Stegostoma tigrinum: one gene and its partners. The protein of the gene in region 1 binds, or shares a complex with, the protein of each later gene. Links are inferred from orthologs where the notes say so. Each region holds a gene or a part of one and is shown on either strand. Other genes may lie near its edges.

Region 1 (10,887 bases):
CCTTCTGCTTCTGACCTTTCCACAGGGGAACAAGGACGAGGCTGACATTTCCAATACTGGCATTGGAGCCTTCCGATTCATGCTGGAGTCCAATAGAGGGAAGTCCATGCTGGAATTTCAGGTAAAGCTGGGGCTCGGAAGAGCGGCAGAGAGAACTGGGACGGGAGGGCATGTAGGGTAGTGCTCTATGGGGAGGGGCAGAGCAAGGGGACATGGTTTGGGGTTGGTGTACATGCTGAGGGTGGGGCCGTGGTCTGCGTCGGTGTAAATGCTGAGGGTGGGGCCGTGGTTTGGGTCAGTATACACGCAGGGTGGGGGGAGATGCTGCGATGGCGTTGTTCCTGCTCCTGTCATTGTGAATTTGTTCCAGGAGCTGATGACGGTATTTCAACTCCTGCATTGGAATGGCAGCCTGAAGGCAATGAGGGAACGGCAATGCTCTCGCCAGGTAAGTAATCCCTGCACCAGCACAGCCCTGGCAGTGCCAGAACATGCCTCATCCCTGTGTGTGTGTGTGTGTGTGTGTGTGTGTGTGCGCGCGCGCGCGCGTGGCATGCCCAGGTGAGGGGAAGGGGGTGTGTGTGTTTGGTGTGCCCAGGTGAGGGGAGGGGTGGGTGGTGTGTGTGCGTGCGTGCGTGGTGTGCCCAGGTGAGGGGCCTACAGGGATGTGTGGTCTTTCCAATTCAGGGCCTGGGGCAATGCCACCTGCCTGGTTGGGTGGGGGTCAGCCTCCCACCAGCAGTGTCACTGACCTGGTTGCCATCTCCCCTTCCTCCTGCAGGAGGTGCTGGCTCACTACTCCCACAGGGCCTTGGACGACGACATGCGCAGCCACATGGCGACAGAGTGGGTGAGCCGGGAGCACGTGATGCCTGGAATAATCAGCCGGGAGCTTGCCGTCGCAGAGCAGGAGCTGGAGGAGGCCCGGCTGGCAGGGAAAGAACTGCGCTTTTACAAAGAGAAGAAGGACATCCTGGTGCTGGCCATGGGACAACTGGGTCCGAAACATACCACCAACTGCTGAGGCTCCTCAGTGCCCCGCCTGGCCCAGCAGCCGGGCACCTGGACTGAGCTAATGGCCTGCCTCCTGGGGGTTTACTCTGCTTCATATTTAGTGGGCACTTGCAGCTGTCTCAACTGTATCCTTCAACTTCTCTCATTCTCTTCTCTTTTCCTGATCACGCCAGATTGTTCAGGCAGCTCTTTGGAGCTAAAAGGGGCACCGTGACTGCAATGCGTCTGGACTCGCCAGGCCTCACTGCCTCTGTCAGGCCAGGAAGGTAATTCCCAAATCATAGCAGGCCGTGAGGTTGCTGGTCTCCAGCCCTGTGTTTGTCACTTCCTATTTACTGCAATCTTTAATGTTTCCTTGCCTTTTCTAAGACTTCAATCATCAGCGTTGTGCTGAAAAGCCTGAAGTGAGTGAGTCTGAGTCTCTCTGCAGAGAGAGCATTACAACTGAGATGATTGAACCAGTCAGGGGTGGGTTTTGGGGACAGGGTGCCTGAGACCAGAGGACACGGTCTCTGAATGCAAGCAGGTCATTTAAGAGGTGTGGAAGAATTTCTTCACTCTGTGGGGCTGTGTTTGGAATTCTTATCCCCAGAGGGCTGAGGAGGTTCGACCTTTGAGCAGGTTCAAGCCAGAGATCCATAGCTTTCCAGGGATTAAAGATCTGGAGGCTTTATGGGCAGAGTGTGGAATAGCAGCATTGAGATAGAAGATCAGCCATGATCTTGTTGACTGGCAGAGCAGATTTGAGGGGTGAAATGACTTTCCTTGTTCCTGCATCACCCTGTCCACAGTGACCCACACGGACAAATATCACATACACTAAGCCCTTACACCCAGATGTAAGCAATTCTGACAATATCACTGGAGCTGTCAATCTGCACCATTTTTGCAGGCTATCCTGACATGCCTTATTCTCTGCTGGAATTTTGACAGGACTGACCTCGTCACCTCTCACTCTGATCCACTTATTACTTCTGACTTGGCTGAATTTATACACTACACAACTTGTACCGAAGCCAGCGTTTTAGATTAAAAAGCAGTATTATATGTTTGATACATGGTGACTGATAGCTCACTACTTTGCACCTAGCCATTTGATCAAATAAAATTTTTATTGGATTCCTGGGTGTCCTTTCTGTGTTGAAAGCTTGCTTCGCTGTTTGGGCCTGGCCCACTTCCGAGAGGAGCCTGCCCTTACAATCCAGCCTTCCAGGTCAGCCATTCCAGACGCACATGCATGAGTTTGTTTTACACACACACTCACATGCGTCTCCCTCAGCGACTCGCAGACACACACACACACACACACACACACCCGCATATTTTAGTCCCCCATGATTGTTGTAATAGTGCCTTCCTTACATACCTTGTCTATCTCCTTACTTATTTGCGTCCCCACATACTAACTACAGCCAGGAGCCTGAAAATATTTCCCATCAGGGTCTCTTTTCCTAAGTTCTACCCATACAGATTCTGTGCCTCCCAACTCTATACCACTTCTTCTGTACCAATTTAATTTAATTTAATTTCTTACTAACAAGGCAGCCTCACCCCTACTGCCCATCGGCTTGTCCTTTTGATAGGATGTGCATCCTTGGATATTTAGTTTGCACCCACGTCTCTGAGATACCCACAACATTCTACCTGTCATTTTCAATCTGCACTACAAACTCATGTAGCTTGTTTCATGTATTGTGTGCATTTTATGTACAATACTCTTAGTCCTACATTGACACCCTCACTGTACTTGTTCCCTTACCTGCTGAGCCTGAAGTTTGATTCCTGCCCATTCCACACTCTCCATCCTATTACTTGTTCTGGCAAGTTTAATAACCTCTGTTGAGCCCTCCCCTCTTTAAGATTATCCAAAATTTTCCATACAATTTAGTATCCCTCCCTCGCTCCCCCACCACCATACTTCAAGTGGAGCCCATCCCATTGAAACAGCTCCCTCCTTCCCAATACTGGTGCTAATGGCCCATGAATTCAATATTTCCCACACCAATCTTTCAGCCACGTGTTTAACTCTTTAATCTTGTCGACCCTGTGCCAATTAGCTCATGGCTCAGGTAGTCATCCAGAGATGATTGCCTTTTTGGTTCTGCTTTAATTTAGACCCTAGCTGCTCATGTTCCCTCAGCAGAAGCTCTTTCCACTTTCTGCTTGTATTGTTGGTACCGACGTGGACCACGACAACAGGATCCTTCCCCTCCTCTGCAGCCCAGATGAGAAATCCTGAATCTGGGCACCAGGCAGGTAACGGAGCCTTCAGGACTCTCGATCCTGGCCACAGAAAACCGTGTCTATTCCCCTGATGATACGTATCTGTGTTTAAAACTGAATTTCTCTTTTCTTGCCCTTCTTGAATGGCTTGCAGTACTGTAGTGCGAGTTTGCTCATCTTCCCTACAGCCCCCACTCTTGACATGCAGGGAGCAAGAATCTCAAACTTGTTGGACAAGCTCAACTGCTGAGGCTCCTTCAGCACAACCTCCCAGATCCCTTGACCTGTCTCACCCATTGCATACCCTTCTGTCCTTGAAAGAATTTGAGGTAGTTAATCTAGGGGGTGTGACTGCCTCCAGCATCCAGGTAAATCTTATCCCCCTCCCTGATGTGTAGCAGTGTTCATAGCTCAGACTCTAGCTCCATGAGTCTGAGCCTGAGTTCCTCAGAATGTGGTCATTACTAGCGACATTGAGATCCCCCAGCTTCCACAGCATGCAATTATAAAACATCACCTGGCCTGGCACCTTAGTTTTTAATTTGATTTTTCAAAAATATTTCATGCTGCCCTTTGGGTTTGTTGCCTGTAAAACTTCTATCTGAAAGTGATGTATAATAGTCAAATCAGTAGCTAGCACCAATCAATGATTTTACCTGTGATTTCACTCTTTTGTGCTGGCCCCCTGATCCTGGGCTTTAATTTATCCTGATTAAAATAAAACTTAAACCAAGAACCAACAAAAAGCAAGCAAACAGCATCTCAGCCAAGGATTGGCAGATGGAATTTAATCTAGATAAATGTAAGGTGTTGTATTATGGTAGGGGAAATCTAGGCAGGAGTTGTACACTTAATGATAAGGTCCTGGGGCATGTTGCTGAACAAAGAGACCTTGGAGTGCAGGTTCATAGCTCCTTGAAAGTGGAGTTGCAGGTGGACAGGGCGGTGAAGAAGCTGTTTGGCACACTTGCCTTTATGGGTCAGTGCGTTGAGTATAGGGAGTTGGGAGGGTCATGTTGCAGCTGTACAGGACATTGGTTAGGCCACTTTTGTCATACTGCATTCAATTCTCGTCTCCCTGCTGGAGGAAAGCTGTCAGATGTTAGGGTTCATAAAAGATTTACAAGAATGTTGCCAGGGTCGAGCTATGTGGAGAAGCTGTTTAGGCTGGGGCTATTTTCCCAGGGGGGGCTGGAGACGGAGGGATGATCTTAAAGAGGTTTATAAAATCATGAGGGGCATGGATAGGTTGAATACTCAAGGTCTTTCCACCAGGGTAGGGTGGTCCTAAACTAGAGAGACATAGGTTTAAGGTAAGAGGGGGGAAGATTTGAAAGGGACCTGCGGGGCAACATTTTCACACAGAGGGTGGTTGCGTAGACAGAACAAGCTGCCAGAGGAAGTGGTGGAGGCTGATACAATTACAACATTAAAAAGACATCTGGATGAGTAAAATAAATAGGAAGGATTTACTGAGATGTGGGCCAAGTGGTGGAAAATGGGATTAGATTAATTGAGGATATCTGATGGGCATCTGGCTGACTGGTTGGACTGAAGGGTCTGTTTCCACGCTGTATATCTCTGTGGCTCAACGTGAGACCCAGTACAGAACCCAAGGAGATGCCAGTCATGAGTCAATTGTCCGGGTCTGTTCTGTACAAATGAACTGGACCAACTAGCACCCCATTGGTCTACTCCTGTTCATTAGGGAGGGGGGGATTTTGAAGCTTGTGAAATGCACATTGATACCATTGGGCTGCAAGGTTCCGAAGCGGAATATGAATTTCTGTTCCTGCAACCTTCGGGTGGCATCATTATTGGCACTGCAGGAGGCCCAGGATGGACATGTTGTCTGAAGAGTGGGAAGGGGACTTGAAGTGGTTTGCGACTGGGAGGTGCAGCGATTTATTGCGAACCGAGCGTAGGTGTTCTGCAAAGTGGTCCCCAAGCCTCGTTTTGGTTGCCCTGATGTAGAGGAGGCCACAACGGGTACAGCGGATGCAGTACACCATATTAGCAGATGTACAGGTGAACATCTGCTTGATGTGGAAGGTCTTCTTGGGGCCTGGGATGGGGGTGAGGTGTGGGGGCAGGTGTAGCATTTGCCGCGGTGGCAGGGAAAAGTGCCAGGTGTGGTAGGGTTGGAGGGGAGTGTGGAGCAGACAAGGGAGTCGCGGAGAGAGCGGTCTCTCCGGAAGGCAGACAAGGGTGGGGATGGAAAAATGTCTTGGGTGGTGGGGTCGGATTGTAGATGGCGGAAGTGTCGGAGGATGATGCGTTGTATCCGGAGGTTGGTGGGGTGGGACATGAGGACGAGGGGTATTCTGTTTGATTGTTATTGCAGGGATGGGGTGTGAGGGATGAGTTGCAGGAAATGCGGGGGACACGATCGAGGGCATTCTCAACCACTGCGGGGGGGAGGTTACGGTCCTTGAAGAACGTGGACATCTGGGATGTGCAGGAGTGGAATGCCTCATTCCTGGGAGCAGATGCGGCGGAGGCAGAGGAATTGGGAATAGGGGATGGAATTTTTGCAGGAGGGTGGGTGGGAGGAGGTGTATTCTAGGTAGCTGTGGGAGTCGGTGGGCTTGAAATGGACATCAGTTTCTAGCTGGTTGCCTGAGATAGAGACTGAGAGGTCCAGGAATGTGCTGGAGATGGCCCAGGTGAACTGAAGGTTGGGCTGGAAGGTGTTGGTGAAGTGGATGAACTGTTTGAGCTCCTGTGGGGAGCAAGAGGCGGCGCCGACACAGTCATCAATGTAACGGAGGAAGAGGTGGGATTTGGGGCCTGTGTAGGTGCGGAAGAGGGACAGTTCCACGTAACCTACAAAGAGGCAGGCATAGCTGGGGCCCATGCGGGTGCCCATGGCCACCCCCTTAGTCTGTAGGAAGTGGGAGGAATCGAAAGAGAAGTTGTTGAGGGTGAGGAGAAGTTAAGCTAAGCGGATGAGGGTGTTAGTGGTGAGCCTGGCCCATGTGAGGAGTTGATACTTCACTGAGTTGAAGTGGAGCAGCATATTAGTGTGGACTAACCCATCCTCAACGCCATCTTGGGTCTGGACAAGGTCGTGGGAACCAAAGCCTCAACGCGCAGGCGTCGGCATCGGCGTCAACGCCATCGCGTCATGCACGCCTACCGGAAACAACGTCAGTGCCCCACCCCCATAGAACACCGCACCTCCCCGCCCCCTCCCCAGAATCCATTGCGGCGGCAAGATGGCGGACGTGTTGGATCTTCATGAGGCGGGAGGCGAGGACTTCGCCATGGACGATGAGGGTGACGGTAAATAAAACACCTTCCCGCTCCTCCGCAGTGTCACCGACAGCCAAAGACTCCGGATTCATACCGGCCCTGCCCCGCTCCCCCTTCCGCCTGAGTCCACCCCCCCACACTGTCCCAATGAGACTCCATCCCCCCCCACACTGTCCCAATGAGACTCCATCCCCCCCCCCACACTGTCCCAATGAGACTCCATCCCCCCCCCACACTGTCCCAATGAGACTCCATCCCCCCCCACACTGTCCCAATGAGACTCCATTCCCCCCCCACACTGTCCCAATGAGACTCCATCCCCCCCCCACACTGTCCCAATGAGACTCCATTCCCCCCCCACACTGTCCCAATGAGACTCCATCCCCCCCCCACACTGTCCCAATGAGACTCCATCCCCCCCCACACTGTCCCAATGAGACTCCATTCCCCCCCCACACTGTCCCAATGAGACTCCATTCCCCCCCCACACTGTCCCAATGAGACTCCATCCCCCCCCACACTGTCCCAATGAGACTCCATCCCCCCCTCAGACTGTCCCAATGAGACTTGATCTCCCTGACGTTGGATGCCTTCAAGGCAGAGATCGACAAATTCTTGGTGCCACAAGGAATCAAGGGCCACGGGGAGAGTGCAAGTACGTGGAGTTGAAATGCCCATCAGCCATGATTTAAATGGCTGATGGGCCGAATGGCCTTACTTCCACTCCTATGTCTTATGGTCTTATGGACCCTGTCCCAATGAGACTCCTTCTCCCCTCGCTCCCAATGAGACGCGATCTCTCTCCTCACGCTGTCCCAATGAGACTCGACCCTGTCCTAATGAGACTCGATCCCCTGACCCGGTCCTAATGAGACTCGATCTCCTGACCCTGTCCCAATGAGACTCGACCCCTCCCCACACTGCCCCAATGAGACTCGGTATCTCCCCTCGCAGTATCCCAATGAGACTTGATCCCCCTGACCCTGTCCCAATGAGACTCGATCTCTCCCCTCACAGTGTCCCAATGAGACTCGATCCCCCGACCCTGTCCCAATGAGACTCAATCTGTCCCCTCACATTTTCCCAGTGAGACTCGATTCCCCCACACACATGCGCGCACACTGCCCAGCAAGCCTCCATCTCCCTGACCCTCTCCCAATGAGACTCGATCCCCCGATCCTGTCCCAGTTAGGCTCAATCTCTTCCCCCCCCCACACTGTCCCAGTGAGACTCGATCCCTCCCACACTGACCCAGTGAGACTCGATCACCCCCCCCCACACTCTTATGCGCACACTGTCCCAATGAGACTCAGTCCCCCTGACCCTGTCCCATTGAGAGCCTTAATCCCTCCACACTACCCCAATGTGAATCAATCCTCTGACCCTGTGATAATGGGAACTGCAGATGCTGGAGAATCCAAGATAACAAAGTGTGGAGCTGGATGAACACAGAAGGCCAAGCAGCATCTCAGGAGCACAAAAGCTGATGTTTCGACGAAGGGTCGAGGCCCGAAACGTCAGCTTTTGTGCTCCTGAGATGCTGCTTGGCCTGCTGTGTTCATCCAGCTCCACACTTTGTTATCTTCAATCCTCTGACCCTCTTTGGTTGACACTTGATCCCCTAGACTCATCCCAAAGACAGTTGACCCCCCCAACACTGTCCAATGAGAGCCAATACCCCTGACCTTGTCCTTATGAGAATCTATCCCTCCCATACTCTCCCAATGAGACTCGATCCCCTCCACACTGTCCCAATGAGACTTGATCTTTCAACTGTATCCCAAAGAGCCGTTTCACCCCAACCCTAAAAGGGAATTGATGCACCTGACCCTCTGTCTATGAGAGTCAATTCACCCTGATCCTGTCCCAATGGGAATTAATTCCCGATTTTCTGAAAGAGAGTCCATCACGTGACCATGTCCCTATGGGAATCAATCCGCCCTGACCCTGTCCCAATGTGAGTTGATCCCCCGATACTGTTCCAATGAGATTTGATCATGAAGTAAATACAGTTTGATTCATCTGCTTTACCCCATTCTCTGCTGTGCTTTTGCCTGTCTTTCTATTTAACTCGCTTCCTCTAATTCCAGCCATCCTCGGCCATCATTTGTTTTGTTGCTAGTGCTTAGGATCCTCCCACCCTTCCTCCATTCTAGTTTAAAGCGTCCCAATAGTAACACGAGCAAATATCCCTTCTCCAAGTTTAGTTGGATTTTTGGAAAGCTTTCAATAAGATCCCGTATAAGAGATTAGCATGTAAAATTAAAGTGCCTGGAATTGGGGGCATGTACTGATATGAATGGAGAACTGAATGGCAGACAGCAAGCAAGGAGCAGGAATAATTGAGTTTTTTTTTCAAGTGGCAAGCAGTGATGTGTGATAAGGTTCGGTGCTTGGACTGCAGTTTTTCACAATATATATTAATGATTTGGGTAAAGGAATAAAATGTAACATCTGTAGCCTGCAGATGAGACAAAGCAAGTTGGGAAGGTGAACTGTGAGGAGGATGCGGAGATGCTTCAGTGTGATTAGGACAGCATTGAGTGAGTGGGAGATGCTTGAGCGATGAAATGTAATCGAGATAAATCTGAGGCTATGCACTCTGGCAGCAAAAACAGGGTGGGAGATAATGTATTCTCCGAATTGTGATAGATGACGAAGGGGGGAGGTGTGAGAAGAACTGGATGGCCTTTTGCACTCGTCGCTGAAAGTAAGCATTTCAGGAACAACAGGCAGCGAAAGAGGCAAATGGTGTGATGGCCTTCATAGCAAGAGGATTCAAGTACAGGAGGGATGTCTTGCTGCAGTTGTACATGGCCTTGGTGAAACTACATCTGGAGTATTGGGTGCAGTGTGGCCTCTGTATCTCAGGAAGGACTTCCTGGTTATGGAAGGAGTGCAGTGAAAGTTTACCTGACGGAATCCTGAGATGGCAAGACTGAGGGACCAGATCAGTTAGGACTGTATTCAGTTGGAGTTTAGAAGAAGGGAGGGTGGGTGATCTCATAGAAACCTCTAAAATTTTAACAGGACTAGACAGGATGCACGCAGGACGGATGCTTCCAGTGACCAGAGCAAGGGAATTCATATCCAGGGGGTGACAGTCTGAAGGAAGTAGGGTGGGACTGGGATGAGGAGAAATGTATTCACTCAGAGAGTGGGGAGCCTGTGGTAATCTTTACTAGAGGAAGCGGTCGGGGCTGGAACATTGAATGTTTTCAAGGAGTTCAATAGAGTTTGTGGAGATATTGAGGGTGAGAGAGAGAAAACAGGACTTAGATGGATGATCAGCCACGATCCTATAGAATGGCAGAGCAGGCTGGAAGGGGCCAAATGGCCTATTCCTGTGCTTATTTTCTGTGTTTCCGTGGTTTCCTTGTTGTTGGAGTTTGATGACGGCCCAGTCACGCAGCTCATTTTCCCCACCCTTACCATGTGTCCTCCCTTGAAACATCCTTTAATCAAGTGACAGCTTGACTTTGCTATTCTGACGCTCTATCCTTCCCAGCACATAACCTGAAGCCTTCCCGCGTATGTGCTTGACTCTCACCCAGCTGACTGCACCCCTTCGCTTTCTCCCACCCCTACACTGATACTGTTTGTCTATTTTACAGAAAGTATTCATAAGCTGAAGGAAAAGGCCAAGAAGCGAAAGGGACGAGGCTTTGGCTCTGGTGAGTAGCAGATCATCTTCCTGTGCTGACGTTTGAGTGGCTGTTGGTGGGGGCTGGGTCTGGGGCTGGACCTGTCCAGGAACATTGAGTGCATGTTATCACATTGTGAGTGGCACCTTATCAGGATGGACAGGCTTTGCAGCTTCAGGAGGTGCATTACTTGCTGCAGATATCCTAGGCTCTGGCATGTTTCTGGTGAAAGTTCCCAGGGTTGCAATCCAGGATTTGCAACTTACTGTTTAGAGTTAGTGGCGCTTGCTCAGCATTGATCCTCTGACAGTGCGGCACTCCCTCAGTGTTGACCCTCTGACAGTGCGGCACTCCCTCAGCGCTGACCCTCTGACAGTGCAGTGCTCCCTCAGCGCTGACCCTCTGACAGTGCAGTGCTCCCTCAGCGCTGACCCTCTGACAGTGCAGCACTCCCTCAGCGCTGACCTTCTGACAGTGCAGCGCTCCTTCAGCGCTGACCCTCGGACAGTGCGGCGCTCCTTCAGCGCTGACCCTCGGACAGTGCGGCGCTCCTTCAGCGCTGCCCCTCGGACAGTCCGGCGCTCCCTCAGCGTTTTGTCTATAACTATTTCCACTCTGAATGTTGCTTCTTAGGTGCTCAGTGTTCAGTGGTGAGGCCTCTGGAAAGCTGTTTACAGTCCATCAGTGAGTTTAAGGAGGAGATTGGACTAAGAGCTTGATTAATGATCTTAAATTGGTTTTTGATATAATT
Region 2 (11,407 bases), on another chromosome or scaffold:
AGTCAATGTGGTGTTTTATAAATTTCTACTTTAGAAATAAAATCACTCTGACTCCAAACTAAAACAAACCAATTCTAAACAAGGCCTTACATGTAACATGCATTGTCTGACATAAAATGTCATCTCTTTACACCAACAAAACCTTTAGTTCTTTCAGGGCAGTGACTTGAAAGAAATTTGGGTATTTATATATACATATTAACCTTCTAACTGGTTAAAGATTTAACAGCATCTTAGGATTGTTTAATACATCCTCATCAGTTGTGTGATCCTTTGATGTTTTACTTATAAATTCTGTGTTCTCCATTCTCACTTCACCTGATGAAGGGGCTACACTCCAAAAGCTTGTGTTTTCAAATGTAACCTGTTGGACTATAACCTGGTGTCGTGTGATTTCTGACCTTGTCTACTTCCATCAAGAAGCTCCTCAAAATCTACCTCTATGAATGAGCTTTTGGTCATTGGCCCTCATTTTTTTGAGGATGTAATTAGTAGGGCAGAACTGTTCTGAAGATGTCATATTGAACTCAAAATGTGAGCTTTGTTTCTTACTCAAACGCTGTCAGACCTGCTGAGTTTCTCCAATCTTTTCCGTTTTTGTATTAAATACTGAGATATTATTGTCTGGCCTTGAATCCAGAATACGGGATAGGGAACAGTCCCCGGTCAAGGGGTCAATTGCATTGGCTAAGATGACGAGACATTTCTTCAGTCTGAGGCTTTGGAATTGTCTTCCCCAAAGGGATGTGGATGATCCATTAATGAGTATACTGAAGGCTGGGATGCACAGGTTTTACTGGTTGGCAAGATGTTATGAGTGATGTGCCACAGGGACCAGAGCTAGTACCTCTGTCTTTTAACGATTTACGTACGTAACTCAGATGAAGGTACTCAAAGGTATCATTGCTACATTTTTTGCTGACATAAGGATAGATAGGAAAGGAAGTTGTGAAGTGGAGATAAGGAAGCCACAAAGGGAGACAGAGTGGGCAAAGATCTAGCAAATGGAACAAAATGCAGTAAAATATGATATTGTCCATTTTGGCAGGAAGGAAAAAAGGCATGTGATCTAATTGGTGAGAGCTTACCAAGCTCTGAGATGCAGAAAAATCTGAATGGCCTACCTCATGAATTGCTAAAGGTTTGCATGTAGGTATAGCAAGTAATCAGGAACATTTATGGAATATTATGGTGCTTTTTTTTAGGGGAATTTAATTCAAAAGTAGGGAGGTTATGCTTCATTTGCTTCAAAGCATTGGTGAGATCAAATCTGGGATACAGTACAGTGCACAGTATTGGTCTCCTTATTTAAGAAAATATGTTGTGTGTGTTGGAAGAGGTTTGGGGAACATTTACTCGAAGGTCTAGTAAACTAATACGTGGAATGGGTGGGTTAGCTTGTAAGAAAAAAATGGATGGGGTAGGCTGGAATCCACTAAAGGTTTAGAAGAGTAAGAAGCAGCTTGACTGAAATATATAAGATTTGTACTTGACAGGAAGTTTCCTATTATGGAATAATTAAGAATTAGGGCCACATATTTACGGCAGGGATGATGAGTTTTTTTTTCCTCACAAATTTGAGAGTCTTTGGAACTCTCATCCTGAAAAGCCAGTGGAAGCTGAGTCTCTGAATATTTTTAAGGCAGATGTGAAACGATTTTTTGGTAAGCAAGGAGACAAGCAGTTATCATCAGTAGGAGAAATGTATAGTAAAAAGAAAATCAGCCATAACCTTGCAGAGCAAGCTTGAGAGGCTGTGTGGCCCTTTCCTGGTTCAAATTTTCTTGTTAGTGATCATATTTTTGGTTTCTCAGGGGAATCAAGGGACATGGGGAGCAGTTGGAGAACTGAAGTTTGAGGCAGAAGATCAGTTGTGATTGTATTGAATTGTGGAGCTTATTTAGTCTACTCTTGGCCTACTTTATACGTTCTTATCTCCTCATGTGTTCAGCATCACGTTTTTTTGGCACCCATGAAACATCTTTGTCTGCTTTATTATGTCAAAGAGGCTTTAGAAGTACAAATTACAATGCTACTGTGGAGCAACTTTGTCCATTTTGTTAAATCAAAGTCATTGCAAACACTGCATTAAACTCATGCTACATGTGTGCAGCTGCATGATGTATTTGCTGCAGTTGATTTCTTATGACTTTGCCACACAGAATAAGTTTTGGTCAATTAGATCTCCTAGTGATGTTCAACTGTCTGAAATTAACTTGCAGGTGGTTTCATGTTGGTGTCTCTGAAACTACTATTTACGACAGTGAAAGGGCTGGTTACAGCTCAAAGTGTGTTTGTGGTGTATATTGTTGATTCCTGTTATCATTGTGGCAGTAATAGAATTATTGACTTCAATGATGCATTTTCCTCTGTCAATAAATTGACTAAAATATATGAGTGGTAAAAGGCGAGGGGGTCTGTTCTGATAAACCGATTAACTGAATTAACCAAAATCCTTGTACTTTAAGTTTTCAAACACAAGTGACTTACTTCTTAGAATGTATTACATTTTCTATGTCTGTCACACACTCATTACCTGGGCTTCGTGCTTCCAGACCACGTACCAAGATTTTCACCACAAGATTGAAGTTCTCAAAATTCCAGAAACTGGAGATCCCTTTATAATAGTTAACATCTTACTGCTTGAGGGAAAGTCACTTTGACTTCGCTTTCTCTTGGTAAAGCTGTGGAAAATCAAAGATTGCTTCTACTAATATTTATTAATATTAAATGTTTATTCTCTTTTGTTTCCATTGTCACTCCAATACACAGCACTGGCAAAATGGTGATGGTTTTTAGTCAGTTAATCTTGTTGTAGCTGTTGGCATTCAGGTCTTTGAAGAAAAGTTTGTGGGTTCTCATCCTTTTCTGGGATTTGACCAAGCTCTCTCAGCTTCCATTCCAGTCAGCTCTGGTGCTACCACTAGGCCCAAAACGTCAGCTTTTGTGCTCCTGAGATGCTGCTTGGCCTGCTGAGTTCATCCAGCTCCACACTTTGTTATCCTGGTGCCACCACTGTCTGGTCATCCAGCAAAATTTGGGGAGTGTTGGGTGCAACAAAAATACCTTTTAACAAAATATTGGAACTGAAAGCTAGACAGAAACCCATGCAGCTGCCCAAAGTCAGAATAAATTTCCTGCTCTGTCAGTTTCTGACACAGGTACAATTAGATTATTATCAAATTGCCAGTGGATAATGTGCTTAAAAATTTTCCCAGTTAGTTACACTAACGTGTAGGTTAGGAGGCCAGGGTTCAGGTCCCATCTGCTCCATAGCTGTGAAATAACATGTCTGAACAAGTTGTTTAAATTAACTATAAAGGGACTGGAAGGGTTAAAATATGTTACAACTGATTTACATATTTGAACCCTTCCAGCCCCTTTATATTTCACAGCTACGGAGCAGATAGGACCTGAACCGAGGCCACCTAACCTACATTACCACTACTTCACCAGACTCTTACAATATTGTTTAACCAAACAACATTTGGATACCCAAAAAGCACAATCTGCCGCTACCTCCATGACAGACCACAACAAGAAGACACAACATGGCCAGGCACATTAGTCACCCTACGGTACTTCAGAGACATATTAGAGATGACCAAAAGACTACTCAGATCCTGAGGTATCAGTCCACAAACCAACAATCACCCTGTGACTGCTACTACCAAACATGAAGAATCCCATACCCACAACCAATAAAACTACTGTAATACACAAAATACCATGCAAGGACAGTGAGAAACATTACATCAGCCAAATTGGAAGAAAACTGACAATAAGGATACATGAACACCAACTAGTCACCAAGAGACAAAACCAATTCTCATTAGTCTCAATACACAGGGACAAGGAACGATACAAATTCAACTGGGACAACACATCCATACCAGCACAAACCACACAGAGACATGTCAGGGAATTCCTGGAGGCCTGGAATTCCAACCAGAACTCCATCAACAAACACTTTGAACTGGGTCCCATATACAAACCACTGAAAAACAGGTCCGGAAGCGATGCCAACAATCCCAGCAAACTAAGGCACATAAATAACAAGCGGGACAGAACACCAGTGCTTCACTGGAGGCACACTGATAATGTTAACGAACAGGGTGACAAAACATCTGCAATCAAAATTGCCGATTTGACAACCACACCTACAGTCTCATCCGCAACCCTAGCTACAAATCTTCTCAAAAACTTTAAATTGTCTGAATATGTTGATTAAAAATGACTAATACTGCTGTGTTACTTGATGGGGATTTTTCTTATTCTTAGAAGATGCTGCACCTTGAAACCTCCTGTGCATAGATACAAATGCCATTGTCAGTTGGTTTGTTAATAAGTATTTATCAGCTGCTGGCACAAATTTACCAGAAAATACGATTGTAGAAACTGTTCATCCATGTTTCCAACCCTTAGCCAAACCAAACCAAACCAAAATCTGAACAAAGATAACAAAGTGTGAAGCTGGATGAACACAGCAGGCCAAGCAGCATCTGAGGAGCACAAAAGCTGACATTTCGGGCCTTTCCACATCAAGCAGATGTTCACCTGCTCATCTGCCAATGTGGTATACTGCATCCGCTGTGGCCTCCTCTACATTGGGGAAACCAAGCAGAGGCTCGGGGACCGCTTTGCAGAACATCTACGCTCGGTTTGCAATAAACAACTGCACCTCCCATTCGCAAACCATTTCAAGTCCCCCTCCCATTCCTTAGACAACATGTCCATCCTGGGCCTCCTGCAGTGCCATAATGATGCCACCCGAAGTTTGCAGGAACTGCAACTCATATTCCACTTGGGAACCCTGCAGCCCAATGGTATCAATGGGGATTTCAACAGCTTCAAAATCTCCCTTCCCCCACTGCATCCCAAAGCCAGCCCAGCTCATCCCCACCTCCCTAACCTGTTCTTCCTCTCACTTATCCACTCCTCCCACCTCAAGCCGCACCTCCATTTCCTACCTACTAACCTCATCCTGCCCCCTTGGCCTGTCCGTCCTCCCCGGACTGACCTATCCCCTCCCTACATCCCCACCCACACTCTCGTGTCCACCTATCTTCTCCTCTATCCATCTTCGGTCCGCCTCCCCCTCTACCTATTTATTTCAGAACCCTCTCCCCATCCCCCTCTCTGATGAAGGGTCGAGGCCCAAACATCAGCTTTTGTGCTCCTAAGATGCTGATCAAAATCTGAACATCAATCTGGTTGGTTCTTCCATTTCATGGATAAGGTGGTCCTGAACTTGCTTACACTATCTTTAAAGCAATAATCTGTCTTATGAAATGTTGTTGGCAAATCTTAATTTCTACCTTACCTGGCCTGGCCTACGTGTGACTTCAGACAATAGCAATGTGGTTGACTCATAACTGCCCTCTGGTTAAGTAGGGACGGGCAATAAACAATAAACAATACCGCTACAATCTGCCAACTTCGCCAGTGACACCCTCATCCTGTGAATAGAAAAAAAATTGCAACTCACGATTCAAGAATTATGATTTTTAAAAATGGTTTTGCCCTTAGCAATGGTGATTAGAGTCTTCCATGGTCCTGTATATGCCTTCTTGTCCCTGGAGAAAGGTTAAACATGCCGGATGGGGTTCAAACACAGACTCCTGGTGTATTCCTTTTCAAATCTTGCCAGCCTAAAAAATATCCATTTCCCATTACTCAGTGTTTCTCAACCAATTTTGTGTCAACATTGTTATTGCCCAGATTTGGAAAAATTCTATCATATTTCTCTCCAAGAAGAAAAAGAAGTTCCACATTTTCCATGTTTGACTAAGTGTCTCCTCCCTGGAATCATATTTGTAAACCTCTTCTACGTTTACATCATTTGTAGAGCAAAGTGCTTAGAATTGTAAACAATACTCAGCTGCAGTCTTATTAATGACTTCCATTTCTCCACTGTAACCATTCTGTGAAAGATGGGACTACATGCTCAACATTCAGTGGATACCACAGAATGGAACTGTCTAATTGTACATAAGGTGTGGAGCTGGATGAACACAGCAGGCCAAGCAGCATCAGAGGGGCAGGAAAGCTGATGCTTCGAGTCTAGACCCTTTTTCTTGCTCCTCTGATGCTGCTTGGCCTGCTGTGTTCATCCAGCACTACACCTTGTTATCTCAGCTTCTCCAGCATCGGCAGTTCCTACTATCTCTGTCTAATTGTCTAAGGTTCTTCTAAACAATGGCATGGATTTTCTTTCATTTGGGTCCCATTTTAGAATCATGTAATCCCTAGAGTGCGGAAGCAGGCCATTCAGTCCATTGATTCCACACCGACCTAGCCCCCTACTCTATCCTGTAACTCTGCATTTCCAATAGTCAATCCACCTAGCCTGCACATCTTTGGACTGTGGGAGGAAACCCACGGGAACAATGTGCAAACTCCATTTAGACAGAAGGTGGATTCATGCTTTTTTTTCTGTTCAATGGCACTAGGGCAACTCAGCAAGTCCTTTTATGGAACCTTTAAAGGAAAAGTACATCAGCCCTTAGATAAGAGAATGAGGTCCACACTGCTAAAACTTTTTAGGGAGTCTAGAATTCCCAGGATGCTCTGGCCAGTGGGCGATAACAGACGTGCTGGCAGGGCATAATGGGAGTTGTAGTTTTTACGGTCTAACCACACCCAGTGTTGGAGGAACAAATTGCCCCGTCGAAGCTATGCTTAGGATTGCCGGGATATGTAGTCCTACTGACTTGACACTGGGACTTACTGCCTACAAACCCCGGTATGCATTGCGACAAGGGACCTTCCGGTTGCCTCCAAAAGGGGAAGATGGCGGACAGGCGTCGGCGACGCGCCTCTCAGGACACCGACGAAGAAGATGAGGATGTGCCCCGGTCGGAGGTGGAAGCAGGTCCTTCGGTCACCTGCATCCTGGATTTATCCGGGGTCCAGGCTCGTGAGGCCGAGTCTGAGTGTGTGAGTGTACTCTTAGTCTCTGTGCGGCAGGAAGAGAATAGGGCCTGGAACTGTGGAGCAAGCCTGGCCGCTGAGGAAGAGGGCTGCAGCCTGTCGTCACTCACTGGGCTTTGGGTCCACCCCGTGGTCAGTGACCGGGTTTAGGGCCAGCCGATGGTCAGTGATAACGGGAATTGCAGATGCTGGAGAATCCAAGATAATAAAGTGTGAAGCTGGATGAACACAGCAGGCCAAGCAGCATCTCAGGAGCACAAAAGCTGACGTTTCGGGCCTAGATCCTTCATCAGATCATGAAGTGCTTCACACTTTGTTAGCCTGTGGTCTGTGACCACTCACCGGACTTTGGGTCCAGCCCGTGGCTCGTGACCGGGCTTTGGGCCCAAGCCGCGGCCACGTTTGGCAAGTATGCTTAATTTAGTACAGTGGTGACTATGGTGGGCTTGTTTTTATAAGTTATTTTGTTGAAGTGTTTCTTTTTATAATGTTGGAAAGCTTCAGGATGTAAAAGTAATGGAGGTTAATATCGTCTCCTGATGAAGGGTCTAGGCCCGAAACGTCAGCTTCTGTGCTCCTAAGATGCTGCTTGGCCTGCTGTGATCATCCAGCTTCACACTTTGTTATCTTGGATTCTCCAGCATCTGCAGTTCCCAGTATCTCGGAGGTTAATATCGTCTCCTTATGAAATTTTTGTTTTGGTCAGACAAGTGTGGGAGCCCAGAGTTTTAATTTGGTGTATGATACTGTGTTTGGCCTTTTTTTTTATATTTGTTGTGTTATAAATTGTGCATTGCTGTTTTAAGATTGGATTGGCATTGCTGAAGCTTGTGTCTAGAGAACAATCAATCCAGATTTGGTGTATACCCATTTTTTCGTTTTACTTTGCTACATTGAAATGTATGTACCATAATATGCTACAGAATAGATTATTCTCGTGTTCGAAGTTTTGTTAGAACTATACATAGCCTTTTGCTCTGTAGAATGCTGATTTCTTAATGTTGGTTGTTCTGTTGGGTTTGTTTTTGAGTAAAGCTGATTCCACCTAGCTCATAACTTATCAGTTTAGAGGGGCAATGGTAGGGGAATGTCTGAGATAGTAAGAACTGCCAATGTTGGAGTCAGAGATAAAACAAGGTGGAGTTGGAAGAGCAGGAAAGTTGATGTTTTGGGTTGGGACCCTTCATTACAGAAGAAGGGTCCCGACCTGAAACACACACTTCCCTGATCCTCTGGCTGGCCTGCTGTGCTCTGCCAGCTCCACCCTGTTATCTGTAGTTGCTTTGACTCATGATTGCATGAGCTGATGTTTATATGGATGAATTTTGGAGAGCAACCAAATAAAAGATTTGGTGCCAGTAGAATTGTTACCGACACCTTAAAGTTACTTGTACGTGTGAGTTTGTAAAAGGATGTATTTTAGAAATATGCTAGCATGCTTTCAAGTTTATAAGATTTTTTAACTGAAGATTTCTGCTGATGCTGTGTGCAGATGTAAGACTTTAAAAATCAGTCTTGGGTCAGTTATTACACAGCTTTACAGAACTTGTGTATGGATCTATAGCTTACCTCTAGCTTTTGAAAGGCATTAATTTGCATAAATTGTACCCACTTAGTTGCTGGTTACTTGTGTGCTCTAATGAGGACTATGATTGCGATAGTGCAGGTTGGGGACACACATTTTCTGACTAGCTTTGTTTCAATTAAATACTTGAAGTTTGGCAAAATATTGAATAATATAAGGTGATAGAAATTTGAAAGTTGTCAACTGGAAGTAATCTTTTTACTTCAGTTGCTGATGGAGTTATGTATTTTCAGCATTTTGTCTATTTTAGCCCTTTACGTTTTAATTCCAGAGTAAAAATATTTCAGTTAATAAATTCAGAAGCATCAATCAATCAATCAATTTCAAAGGACATGAATGGCAAAAGAAATCCTATAAAAGTGTGATTACATGGGTAAGAGTTGTAAAGCATTTTGGTGCTGAACATATTGATGGATAATATGTAAGAAGTTAAAATCACTGTCACTAGTGAAGTTATTAAATAATTTGCCTAGTCCAAGAAAGTGAAATAAGGTGCAGTGACACTATCTCAAGTTACTAAATTAATGATTTGTTGCTGTTTGGTTGCCCAAATTTACATGGTCATAGTATCTCTCCTTTGCCCCTGCCACACCAGCTCCCATACTGATTATTTGAGTAGAAGTTTGGAGAGATGAGCACCTGTAGAAACAAACAACATCGATCCATGCTTCTAAAACTGGTAAATAGCACACTGACAGTGGGATTTCTTGCTTAAAAGCAGTTTGTTACGTGTTGCAGTGATTTGCTTTTCATGTAGTTTATTGCATCTGAAAAAATGTGTGAAGATGATAACTTGATTTGGACTTAGGACAAACCCAATTTAGAAGGTCATTCAAAAGTGCAAATTGTGACCAGATCTTTAGATACAGCATCAGAATTTTAAATGAAAAGACCCAACAAATAACCAGGCCCAATTAACTTAGCTGATCTACTTGGTAAGAAGACTGCAAAATCTACTATGAATGCATTATCTCTAATAATGTGTGATAAAAGCCTTCCTCCATTTTATAACATATTGACAGCGTCACGTTTGTTCACTTGGCAAACCTACTGCTTCTGCCCATCTTTGGTTGTCTGAAGGTTCCTGTGGACTTTGGCAAAGTTTGACTAAGAAGACTTCCATTGCTTTCCCACAAGTCTGAGTATAGTGTGCTGAGAAAATGCTGAGCTGGAAAACTGGAAAGCCGTTGGTCTGAGAACCAAACCATATCGCTGCTTCCAGTACCTCAAGGAGTGCTCAATATAAAGTGCACAAGATCAGAATTAATAGCTGTAACCACACAACGGTGGGAAATCGATTCATTAATTGAATTGTTGTCAATTGTGCTTGAAGGTGTTGAAACAAACTAGTATTTACTAGTTGATTTCTCTTTGGATGTAATTATGTTTTCAATCTCTAGCGATTTGGCAGACAGTTCCATTTTAGTTTTATGGATCAGAGGTTTTTGTAGGTGCCTCTCATAATACCAGCAGTTTGCTTTGGAATCATCGATGGACATCTTTGAACTCTGTGATTAAGCGATGTTTCACAATGGAACCTCGCTTCACAATATTTAATTTTTGCGGGCAGGAAAGAAATATTCACCGTTTCACTGGAAGTGCTTAGCCTGACTTTTCTAAAAACCATTTTGATGGAGCCCAGACACAATCAACAATGCAGCAAGTTGACAAAATCTCCCAGTGCTCCTAAGATGCTGCTTGGCCTGCTGTGTTCATCCAGCCCCACATTTTTTATCTTAAAATTTTGCTATTTGTGAGCTGTGAATTGATGTATATGGCTTTGAACCTCCTGCTCCAGCCAGTTTGTAAATATCAGTGAGCTTTTCCGTATTATGGCATGTAGGGTTAGAGGATGTAAACAGTGTGCTTTGAGATTTTGACTTTTTTTTCTTGAATCTGCTAAACCTCTTAGCATATGGGACTTAAACATTTGTTAAATATTTCTGTACATGCCAGGGATCCAAGATGAGTTGTTTTTTTTTTGAGAACCTGCAGATACAGATAATTTGGTTTTTTTAACTAATACAAAATGTTTTTTGTGTGTTAAAGTCTGTTACCAATGATAAAACAGAAGGTTCTTTAAAGAAAAATTTTCTGATGGTGAATATGGTAGGATAGAAAGTGTCTTCTCATGCAGCATCTATTTGGTGAGATAATGAATGTGCCCTGTTTTGGAGAGGTTTACTTGTACTTGGACAGCTTTTAGTTAATAACTTCTGAGCCTTTGCCTTCCATTGTCATTCGTGTGATAGTATTTTATTGTTATGAAAATATATTTGATATAGAAAGTTTCTGGCTGCTGGATTTCTACAGTGTATGTTTAAATCTGATTTAAAAACTTAAAATCATTCATTCCGTATAGTATTATTTATACTGGCTGAGTTTTAAATAAATTGCTATCTCCCAGGAATTGGAAATTGTAGTCCATTCCAGTTAACGTCAGTTTTTACCATTTCTCAAAACAGAGCTTGCATAATTTGTTTATATGTAATGCTTTAAAATGTGATGTGAATCAGTGTTCGAGATGTTTCATGTTGTGTAACGTTCTGTGAAGTATCAGATTTTCAGTTTTGACCCCAGAATTGAACTTGATGTACATCCCTGAAAGACAATAAGCACAGTAGTCGGTTCTGTTGTTTTCTGTTGCAGGGTACAAATTACTTGGAATCATTTCCTGAACATGTGAATTACAAAATTTGGAAGAATTTTTGAGTAGACCAGTACTGCTGCGCAAATTTTGTTTACATTTTTGCTGTGTCCATTTCCTTGCTATGATCGGATGATTTTTTTTTCGCAAGTTTTGCCAGAGTTGCTAATTTTATAAATTTCTATGTTGCTCAGTATCTCAGCAGTTGTTAGTGGTGGGGACATTAAAGTTCCTTGAAGGTC
Region 3 (10,859 bases), on another chromosome or scaffold:
CTCAATTACATTATAACACACAGAATAAATTTTGTGTTTTAGCAGACAGGCATTCTGCCGCAGGTTCACCGGTCCTGCCTGTGATGAAAAGCCCATCAGTCAATGTTTTCTAATCCCTGTTAGAAGAAAAAAAAAGTGTTAAATAGGACATAAGTTTTCCATAATTACACTGAAATATTATTTTAAATCTTCATCAACTTGGCATTTTTATTTTAAAAAACTGTAGAAACTTTTTTTTAAAATAAACAATAAAAGAACAGTTGCTTTTCCAGCAAATTGGATGTTCTTTTGGGAACAAAAACTATGGTTAGCATAAGGAAGTTCAGCATTTATGTTTAAGAACTCACTTTTGATTCGTAGTACGTGTTGGAACCAGATACTCTCCTGTCTCGATCCATTAGGGTCCAATGATAGGGTAAACGAGCAGTCCTCTTTTCCTAAGCATAAAGAATACATTAAGAGTATTTCTTTTTGCTTGAAAAATCAAGTAGAAGTAGGAATTCAATATTTTAACTGTTATATTCTTATAAAGGTACTTAAGCATAATGTTTAAATCAGTAACAAGCCTGAATGAATACTTCTATTCTTATTGCCAAGACCGGTACTACTACAGAAGCTCTCAAATGGATTTTGACACTGATTCCAACTGGGTGAATTTCAGCTACATCCATTATATAATCCTTAACTTGTAAGGCAAACAGACAAAAAAATACTTCATTAAAAGGAAACTCTTAACAAATCAGTATTTTAAAAAGCTTAAAAGTCCAGGCATGTGCTATGTTCATAAACAGATTTCTGTTTGATACTTCAAATAAATTCACAGCGGACATTAGATTACAAAATGTAAAGGAAAATCTGAAATTTATATTCTATTCCAGCCTGAGTTACAAATAAATAATTTACATTTGTATAGCTCCTTTAGTGTAGCAAACTGCTACAAGCTTTTCACACAAGCATCTTAGATACGGGTCCCAAAACTGCTCACAATATTCCAGACCCTTATACGGCTTCAGCGGTACATCTCTGTTCTTGAATTCTAGCTGTCTTAAACTGAATGCAAACATTGCATTTCCCTTCCTAACTGATTCTGCAATGTTAACTTTAAAAAAGAACCCTGAATTAGGACTCTCAAGTGCCATTGTGCTTCAGATTTCTGAAGTCTTTTCTCACACAGAAGATAGTTTACACCTTTATTCTTCCTACCAAAATGCAAAACGTCGGAATACAAAATGGGGAAATTCTATCTGCCACTTGCTTGCCCACTCTTGTCCAAGGCCTTCTGCAGTCTCACTGCTTCCTACTTGCCTCTGTTGAGGAAGCAGGGAGGCTTCATATTTGAGTGCATGACAAGGACTCTCCCTAATATGATCAGGTGAGCTAAGCATTAGTTCTCCTAGAAAAGGCTGGACCAATTTTCTTTTGAAAAAGTGTACAATCAAATTAAGTCTACGGTACCTGAAGATTTTTGCACAACTACTCAAAGGGGGCTGCTTATGTGCAGAAACCTCTTGGCTGCATTGCAGCCCCAAACTTTGGAGGACGATTTACCACAACACAAGGATGCACCGAAAGACACTTCATAAAAAGCATACTAAACTGCAAGACATCACCAAAATAATAAATTTCAAGTGGCCGTGGATCCAAGTTAGCTGAGTATTCTTCTGTGGACAGGTTTAAAACTGCAGAGATAATGGGAACTGCAGATGCTGGAGAATCCAAGATAAAATGTTGCAGAGACCTCAGTGCCAGCTCTGTTCAGGTACAAACAGTCCAACGTGAATGGCTGCCATCTGCCCCTCATTGTCCCACTTCTTTCCCAGAACCGTTAGGGGCATTTAAACAGTCCTTGGATAAGCATATGGATAAATGATGGGATAGTGTAGTGGGAGAGGCTTAGATTAGTTCACAGGCCGGCGCAACAGAGGGCCGAAGGGCCTGTTCTGCGTTGCATTGTTCTATGCTCTAATAACAAGGTGTAGAGCTGTATGAACACAGCAGGCCAGGCAGCAACAGAGGAGCAGGAAAGCTGACATTTCGGGTCTGGGCCCTTCAGAAATCTGGCAATTTCATCACACTCCTGACTTCTATCTTGTAGATGATCCTCTTCAACTGATGCCCATACAGAGGCATTTCTAACAGAGGTTCCTGACACACAGCAGAAACAGGACTCCAAACTTATTCAACACAGGTACTGAGGCAATTCCGCTGGTTATTGTGGCAAAATAACAGTAGTGAGGGAGTGCTGCACTGTCTGCCATGTCAACTTTAAGGTGAGGTAGAAAAGCGAGGAAGGTTTTTTTACCCTTCTCAGGATACAGACTGGAAAAATAGGAGGAGAGGGGCCTTCCAAGGGCTCATTCATTAACACTCCTTCAAAAGAACCCGCGACACTTTAAAAGAGCTACTCCAATTCAAATTGACGTTGGTCAACCAACCCCATGACATAAAAGTATGTTTGTAGGAACAGAAAAGAGAGGAGACTGTAAGACATAGGGCTAGGTGTGGGCCATCTGGCCCCTCCAGTCAGTCTTCCAGTGCAAAGAGTTGACCTCAACCGAGTGTTACAGACTGGCACATTCCAAGGCCCAGGACTACGTGGTGAGGGGTGCACTAAAGCTGGGGGCAGCTATTGCTGCCAAGGCACAACTGGAATAGATCACTTTCTGCCAAAGTACACAGAGGGTACACAAAGTACACCCCGCCCACGGCAGACGACCTCATTGCTCCACCCACAACCCCAGAGTAGACAGCCACACTGAGCCCTGCTGAATCTTCACCATCCCCGCAGACCTCCCACTGACTGAGCATGAATGGTCAGTCCTAAGCAAAAGGGGCTCACCTTTGTCCCCCTACAACCACACATCAACGAATACCAGTCACGTTTGGACACAGCAGTTTTTCGGCCACCTTCGCCTCCACGCTTACTTCTTCAACCAGGAGCCTAGCCCTCCCTCCACTGACCCCTTCACCCGCTTCCAACACAAGTCCTCCTCCTGGACACCACCCCCAGGCATCCTACCCTCCCTCGACCACTTCATCAACTGCTGTCGAGACATTAACCACCTCAACCTCTCCACCCCTCTCACCCACTCCAACCTCTCCCCCGCAGAACGGGCAGCCCTCCGCTCCAACCCCAACCTCACCATCAAACCCCCAGACAAGGGTGGCGCAGTGGTAGTATGGCGCACTGACCTCTACATCGCCGAGGCCAAACACCAACTCTCCGACACATCCTCCTACCGCCCCCTTGATCATGACCCCACCTCCGAGCACCAAACCATCATCTCCAACACCATCCATGACCTCATCACCTCAGGGGACCTCCCACCCACAGCCTCCAACCTCATTGTTCCCCAATCCCGCATGGCCCATTTCTATCTCCTTGCCAAAATCCACAAACCTGCCTGCCCTGGTCGACCCATTGTCTCAGCCTGTTCCTGCCCCACCGAACTCATCTCCACTTATCTGAACTCCATTTTCTCCCCTTTGGTCCAGGAACTCCCCACCTCCGTCTGTGACACCACCCACGCCCTCCACCTCCTCCAGGACTTCCAATTCCCTGGCCCCCAGCACCTCATTTTCACCATGGACGTCCAGTCCCTATACGCCTGTATTCCTCATGCAGATGGCTTCAAGGCCCTCCGCTTCTTCCTGTCCCGCAGGCCCGACCAGTCCCCCTCCACCGACACCCTCATCTGCCTAGCCGAACTCGTCCTCACCCTCAATAACTTCTCTTTCGATTCCTCCCACTTCCTACAGACAAAGGGGGTGGCCATGGGCACCCGCATGGGCCCCAGCTATGCCTGCCTCTTTGTAGGTTACGTGGAACAGCCCCTCTTCTGCACCTACACAGGCCCCAAACCCCACCTCTTCCTCCGTTACATTGATGACTGTCTCGGTGCCGCCTCTTGCTCCCCAGAGGAACTCAAACAGTTCATCCACTTCACCAACACCTTCCACCCCAACCTCAAGTTCACCTGGGCCATCTCCAACACATCCCTCACCTTCCTGGGCCTCTCAGTCTCCATCTCAGGCAACCAGCTATTAACTGATGTCCATTTCAAGCCCACCGACTCCCACAGCTACCTAGAACACACCTCCTCCCACCCACCCTCCTGCAAAAATTCCATCCCCTATTCCTAATTCCTCCGCCTCCGCCGCATGTGCTCACAGGATGAGGCATTCCACTCCCGCACATCCCAGATGTCCAAGTTCAAGGACCGCAACTTCCCCCCCCCCGCAGTGGTCGAGAACACCCTTGACCGCGTCTCCCGCTATAAACAACTGCACCTCCCAGTTGCGAACCATTTTAACTCCCCCTCCCATTCTTCAGACAACATGTCTATCATAGGCCTCCTGCAGTGCCACAAGGATGCCACCCGAAGGTTGCAGGAACAGCAACTCATATTCCGCTTGGGAACCCTGCAGCCCAATGGTATCAATGTGAACTTCACCAGCTTCAAAATCTCCCCTTCCCCCACCACATCCCAAAACCAGCCCAGCTCATCCCCTCCCCCCACTGCATCCCAAAACCAGCCCAGCCTGTCTCCACTTCCCTACTCTGTTCTTCCTCTCACCCATCCCTTCCTCCCAACTCAAGCCACACCTCAATTTCCTACCTACTAACCTCATCCCACCTCCTTGACCTGTCCGTCTTCCCTGGGCTGACCTATCCCCTCCCTACCTATACTCTCCTCTCCACCTATCTTCTTTTCTCTCCATCTTCAGTCCACCTTCCCCTCTCTCCCTATTTATTCCAGTTCCCTCTCCCCATCCCCCTCTCTGATGAAGGGTCTAGGCCCGAAACGTCAGCTTTTGTGCTCCTGAGATGCTGCTTGGCCTGCTGTGTTCATCCAGCTCCACACTTTGTTATCTTGGATTCTCCAGCATCCGCAGTTCCCATTATCTCTGGTCCATTCATTTATCCATTTCTCACTTTTCTGTCTCACCTTAAAGTTGACACTGCAAACAGCACAGCACACTTTCACCACTGTTATCCCTCAGATTTAACCAGCAACAACTGCCTCAGTATCTGTGGTGGATAAGTCAGGAGTCCAATTTCTGCTATGTATCTCAGTGAGCTCTGTTAGAAATACCTCTAGTACCTCAATACATATCAATGTAACCCTCCTGAAGAAAGAAATGCCTTGTTTTATTTTTGCAAATGCAGAGAATGCCAAATTTAGATGTTTGTACGTTATTCATGTGCAAAGCCAGTATAGAAACGCTTACAGTAGCTGCTCCTGTTCCTCTGACGCTGCCTGGCCTGCTGTGCTCCTCCAGCTCCGCACTGTTTTGTCAGTGACTATGTATACTCTTTTTTCCTCAATGAATAAAATACATTAACGGCTGATCCGACATTCCAAACGTGCAATTTCCCAAACTTTCCCATCACCTTTCAAGATCGAGAATCTGACTCAGCCCCCACAGGCCCCTCAGCGAAAGGGCCAACCGACAACGGCTACAAGCTCCGCTGCTTACCTTACCGCCGTTCGTCCACCTGTGAACGTAGATGGTGGCGAGGCCAGGCACCGTCAGGCAGCCGGCCATGATGACAAGCCCGGGCAGGATCTCATACCACATCGCAACTCGCTCACAGCGACCTTCGCCAAGACCCCACTGCACACACAAACCCCAAGGGACTTCGTTTTCCCCACCACTTCCTCTCGCGATAACTGCCTCTCCTAGGAGAGGGCGGGGAATCTTGCGCAGCAAGCCCCGTGGCGATTGGTCCGTGGTGACCACGCCTCAAAAACCGTTTCCCCCTCCGGCGCGGACCAATCAGAAGAGGGGGCGGAGCTTGAGTGACGTGACAGGGAGCCAAAGGCTAGCCGGCTCAGTTGGAGTTGGCTCTGTCAGCGGGGTAGGCCTGTTTATTTTCGAAGCCGCAGCTTGCCTCCTCAAGGCATGAAGGAAGATAAGGAGAATACCAAACCCAGGGAGAAGAAAGTGGAGGTCAAATATGAGGAAAGGGCAGAGAAACCCGAAAAGAAGGAGAAAAAAGAGGTCTTGACCAAGGTTTGTGAAGCAACAGGCCTCAGCCAGGATACAGTCCAGGAGGCAATGTTTCCACTTAAATAAGACAAAGAACTGCAGCCCTCATCTGAGGGAGGATCACTGGACTCGAAAGATTAACTTTTTTTCTCCACAGATGGTGCCAGACCTGCTGAGTTTCTCCAGAAATTTCTGGTTTTTGGCTCCGCCTAAATGGCTTCCTTCGTAATCCGTGTTCACCATCATGGCTAAAATCTCACTGCTTCAGGTTCTGAGGAAGGGTCACCGGACCTGAAATGTTAACTCTTGTTTTCTCCTCCACAGATGCTGCCAGGCCTGCTGAGCTTTTTCAGCAACTTTGTTTTTGTTCCTGATTTACAGCATCCGCAGTTCTTTTGGTTTTTACCTCACTACTTGAAGCTGTCAGAGTGTTTGTGCAATGCTCCGAGGCAGTTAGCCTATTTTCTGGATAAAAACCGAAAGAACTGCGGATGCTGTAAATCAGGAACAAGAACAGAAGTTGCTGGAAAAGCTCAGCAGGTCTGGCAGCATCTATGAAGAAAAAAAAAATCAGAGTTAGTGTTTCGGGTCTGGTGATCCTTCCTCAGATCTAGGCTGCCCTAGGCTGCTTTCCGGTTTCCCCTCACAATCCGTTTTCTGTACGTAATTTTAATGAATGATTATTCTACCTCTTTGTGAGAAGCACAGTTACTTGTGACGACCACGCTAATCTCGGAGAATTGCATATTGTATGAAAATGAATTTGTGGCTGAGTCATTCCTGGATCTTGTTGCTGCCTCTCAATTACTGATTAGCTCTCCAAATACTTCAGATTTGTCTTAAAACAAAATGCTGTAAGTACTCGAGGTCAAGCTGCATCTGTGGAGAAAAACAGGTTTAACATTTTGCAATGTTTAAATGATCCTGATGCTAAAGTAGCTTCTTTATTGATGAATGTTTTGTCATTAGGATGTTTCTTCCATAATACTTTATTGATTGGGCTCTCATCACAGCAGGGTCGTCACCTTTGTTGCTAAATTGTAGTAATGGGATTGTTTGCTCTTGTTTTTGTAATTTGGATGTTGAGAGCTTAAGTAGCTCACTAGGTACCTAATCTGTGTGATCTGTTTCTCAATTTAAATTGCTTTGACATTTGACTTTTTTTTGGTAAAGAAGTAGCTGATAGATATTGAACTGCGTTTATCCATCAGGTGGTGATCCGTCGTTTGCCTCCAAGTCTAACAAAAGAGCAATTAGAAGAGCAACTTGCCCCTTTGCCTGAGCATGATTATTTCGAGTTTTTCTCTACCAATTCAAGGTAGGTTGTTACTATGACAGAATTTTATCAAATTTCTTTTAAATCACAAGGGCCACATTATCAAGGTGCCTTAAAAGCCAGAGGAGCTGCTATCTATTTTCTTTTTAACTCTTATTTATTATGAGGGCCTAAACCACCTCTGATATTAATCAGATATAGATGCTGTGGTGATATATTCATGGTCATGTCATCTGATGAAATCTTAGAACTGAGAAATGTTAGTTCAATTTGTGCGTATATAGCAAAACAATTTTAAAGTCACATAGATTGTAAGTCTGACGGACCATGGAATAGTTTTCAATATGCGGTCAATAAAGCTGTCAACTCAACTCCAAAGTCAGATCCCAGTTGTCTGTGGCATGTGAAAAGCTTTCAGATTGCTGTCATTTACAACCTATACTTTGTACCGTGCATATAGTTATTTGGGCTTTGCAGTGCACTATATTACGGCCATGTAATAAAGTGCTGCTTCACCAAATCTAACATTTAATGTGGTCCTGAGGGATGTGGATGAGCAAAAGCATAGTTCTCTTCTGGCAGACTGTCTACAGTTTTCACACCAGCTGCACTGGGGCAGTAAACGAAAGCAAACTATTGCATTGCTAGCAGTCTGAAACAAAAGAAGAAATTGCTGGAAATACTTAGACTGAGTAGCATCAGGCAGAAACAGATTAACGTTTCATGTCAAGGAATTTCTTCAGAACTGAAGTTTCTCTATCCAAAGATTCTGCAGTGTTTTGTATTTAATTTCAGTATAGATGCTGTTGTGTGCACTTGCCTCTATGACTACAGGTCTCAGAACCATACAGCAATGTTACAGCAGTTGTAAATAAACACAAATATGTATAATATGTGATTAAATTGATTTATTTTAGAGTTCAGCTTTGCTCAAAGATTAGTATACCACAGTGCTAAGATTCAATAATGTCTCAAGTCAGTCACTGCACCTGTTTCTAACTGAGCATAACCATTGTTTGACTCATGCTGCAGGAAGCATTTCTGTACTGCTTGCTTGCATCAGTGCTTTGATATTAAGTGTAAAGCCTTGGCTACAAACAGCTTGATTTTTGGACAGTGATTTCAGGGCATATAATCTTTAGTAAATTAGTCAAGTGGATTTTTGTTGTAAATCCTTCATGAGTCATTGTGTTTGATCTTTTGGGGAAGTTCCATCTGGTGTTTTGCTTTTGTTTATTGATTTTAAACTACTGTATCAACAGTAATTTCAAAAATACATTTCAACCTTTTGAGTTAAATGCAAAAGTTTTATTTGAGTTTTTGTCTAGTATTCAGGCACTGGTTCAAATTCTGAACAAAATAAACGTGTAGCCTACAAAAGGGGGCAGGACCAAGTTGAAGAAAGATGTAGAAATTCCAAGGGCAAAGTTAGAGGCAACGGAACATTAAGTGATGAGGGTGAGGACAAGTAAAATGAGACAGGAAGAAGCAGAGAGTTTACAATAGTAATTGTAAGTTAGCGAGTAAGTTCCATGCAAGGAATCTATAATAGCACAAGCTAAACAGACATGCCAGGGAATTCCTGGAGGCCTGGCATTCCAATCGGAACTCCATCAACAAACACATTGAACTGGACCAGATATGCAAACCACTGAAATATGGAATCGGAAGTGATGCCAACCACCCCAGCAAACCGAGGCGTATGAATAACAAGCGAGATGGAACACCACTGCTTCACCGGAGGCGAACTACAATGTTACCTATCAGGGTGACAAAACATCTGCAATCAAACACAACGACTTGATGAGCAGGTCTACAACCTCATCCACAACCAGAGCTACAAATTTTCTCAAAAACTTTGAATTCCGTTATAAAATTGAAATGACATACTTCAGTCTCAAACAAGAATCTTGTTCTTAAACAAAGCAATTTACATGGATTTGAGAAGAGAGCTGGGTAAGGTTGACTGGGTCAATAAGCAATAAGATATAGTGATATATAAATAGTGGGCACCAAAGAAACAATTCAAAATATTAAACAAAAATACATTCAGTTGAAAAACTCAGCAATAAAAATGATCCAAATTATTGAGGAAATTAAGGATAGTATTAGAGTTTGTATTTTTTTGGAAAGAGATTTATAAAGCTGCTAAATGTTGCAGGAGGTAAAACCAGCAGAAGCCTATGTTGAAAACCATACCAACAAAATGTTGATCAAACATATATATATATAACTTTTTTTTTAAAGTAACCAAGTAGACATTAGAAATTATTATAGGGAGTGAGGAAATGGCAGAAACATTAAACAGCTATTTTGTCCATTTTCACGAGGTCACAAGACCTATGCAGCACTTGTCTACTTACAGCAATGAGTGAGGGAATTAAAATCTCCAGATAAAGTATTGGTGAATTTGGGAGACTAAAATTTGATAATTCCCAAGATCTATCGTGATGAGAGAGGTCATCATAATGAGAGAGCTGCGGCGATGGTAGATGCATTGGCAATGATTTTACAAAAATTCTGGAACTGTCTCAGCAAATTGGAAATTAGCAAATGTGACACTGCTATTCAAGAAGGGAGCAAGAGAGAAAGACAGAAACTACAGGGCAATTAGCCTTATATTGGTCATCAGGGTAGTGCTGGATAGTAAGATTAAATAAGCTTTAACAATGCACTTTGAAAATCGTAGAAAGATCAAAGTCAGTGTAGCCTTACAAAAGTGAAATTGTGTTTGATAAATTTATTAAAGTTTTCTTTGGGCAAAATAGACAAGTTATTTGGTCTCCTTTTTTATTTGAAGGATTAGTTTGCATCGGAGAGAACACAGTGAAGGTTCACTGGTTTGTCCCTGGGATGAGAGGGTTAAATTGTTTTAAGCTACGTTAAGAGGCTAATAGTCTCTGGGGTTTAGGAGAATGAGATGTTGTCACATTGAAACATAAAAGATTCTGAGGGAGTTTGACAAGGTGAACACTAATAGATTTTTTTTCTGTTGATCAGGAAACCAGAACAAGAAGTGTTTTGCAATAAGGAGTCAATTGTGTTTGACTCGGATGAGGTGAAATGAATTCACCAAAAAAAGTGAATCTCTTTAGAAGTATTATCCCAGAGGATTGTGGATGTTCTTTCATTGATTAATGCTTAATGCTTTTTCAGTCTGATTTGTGGCCTTTCAGGAAATCGAAGGAATGGCCAGGGACGTGGAGTTGAAACCAAAGAGATCAGTTGTAATTGTACTGACTAGTGGTGCAAACCCAATAGGATATGTGACTCACTGCAGCTCATGTGTTTTGTGTAAATTCTGATCAGAACCTAATGAGAGAAACTTCGTGATTGTATATGTTGCTGCAAATTTTATGTGGTGTTCCCACAATAATGTCTCATATTTACGTCTTCAATTTAATTCAAGCCTAAAATCTAAATTATTTTTCCATAGTTTGTTTCCGCACATCTTTTCAAGAGCGTACATCAACTTTAAAAATCAAGATGACATTGTCCTCTTCAGGGATCAGTTTGATGGCTATGTTTTCATTGATAGCAAAGGTAAGGCAGTTTTGACTCTGCATGTTAGTGTATACCAACACTGTCT

Evidence for each region.
Region 2: rbm8a (region 1) and casc3 share a complex: the UniProt entries of both Homo sapiens proteins name them as parts of the mRNA splicing-dependent exon junction complex. The link is inferred for Stegostoma tigrinum from reciprocal best matches to the Homo sapiens genes RBM8A and CASC3.
Region 3: rbm8a (region 1) and upf3b share a complex: the UniProt entries of both Homo sapiens proteins name them as parts of the mRNA splicing-dependent exon junction complex. The link is inferred for Stegostoma tigrinum from reciprocal best matches to the Homo sapiens genes RBM8A and UPF3B.

What each region holds. Positions count from the first base shown.
Region 1 is NC_081400.1:7,591,744-7,602,630, reverse strand, and holds the start of rbm8a (RNA-binding protein 8A), read left to right. Parts: upstream 1-6,387; 5' UTR 6,388-6,455; coding exon 6,456-6,522; intron 6,523-10,106; coding exon 10,107-10,166; intron 10,167-10,887. Other genes in the region: lix1l (LIX1-like protein), read left to right, coding at 26-121, 371-448, 782-1,024.
Region 2 is NC_081384.1:12,317,882-12,329,288, forward strand, and holds the start of casc3 (protein CASC3), read left to right. Parts: upstream 1-6,769; 5' UTR 6,770-6,792; coding exon 6,793-6,939; intron 6,940-11,407. UniProt on the Homo sapiens protein: Required for pre-mRNA splicing as component of the spliceosome. Core component of the splicing-dependent multiprotein exon junction complex (EJC) deposited at splice junctions on mRNAs.
Region 3 is NC_081368.1:16,063,167-16,074,025, reverse strand, and holds the start of upf3b (regulator of nonsense transcripts 3B), read left to right. Parts: upstream 1-5,800; 5' UTR 5,801-5,907; coding exon 5,908-6,018; intron 6,019-7,205; coding exon 7,206-7,312; intron 7,313-10,706; coding exon 10,707-10,813; intron 10,814-10,859. Other genes in the region: ndufa1 (NADH dehydrogenase [ubiquinone] 1 alpha subcomplex subunit 1), read right to left, coding at 96-116, 348-437, 5,482-5,583. UniProt on the Homo sapiens protein: Involved in nonsense-mediated decay (NMD) of mRNAs containing premature stop codons by associating with the nuclear exon junction complex (EJC) and serving as link between the EJC core and NMD machinery.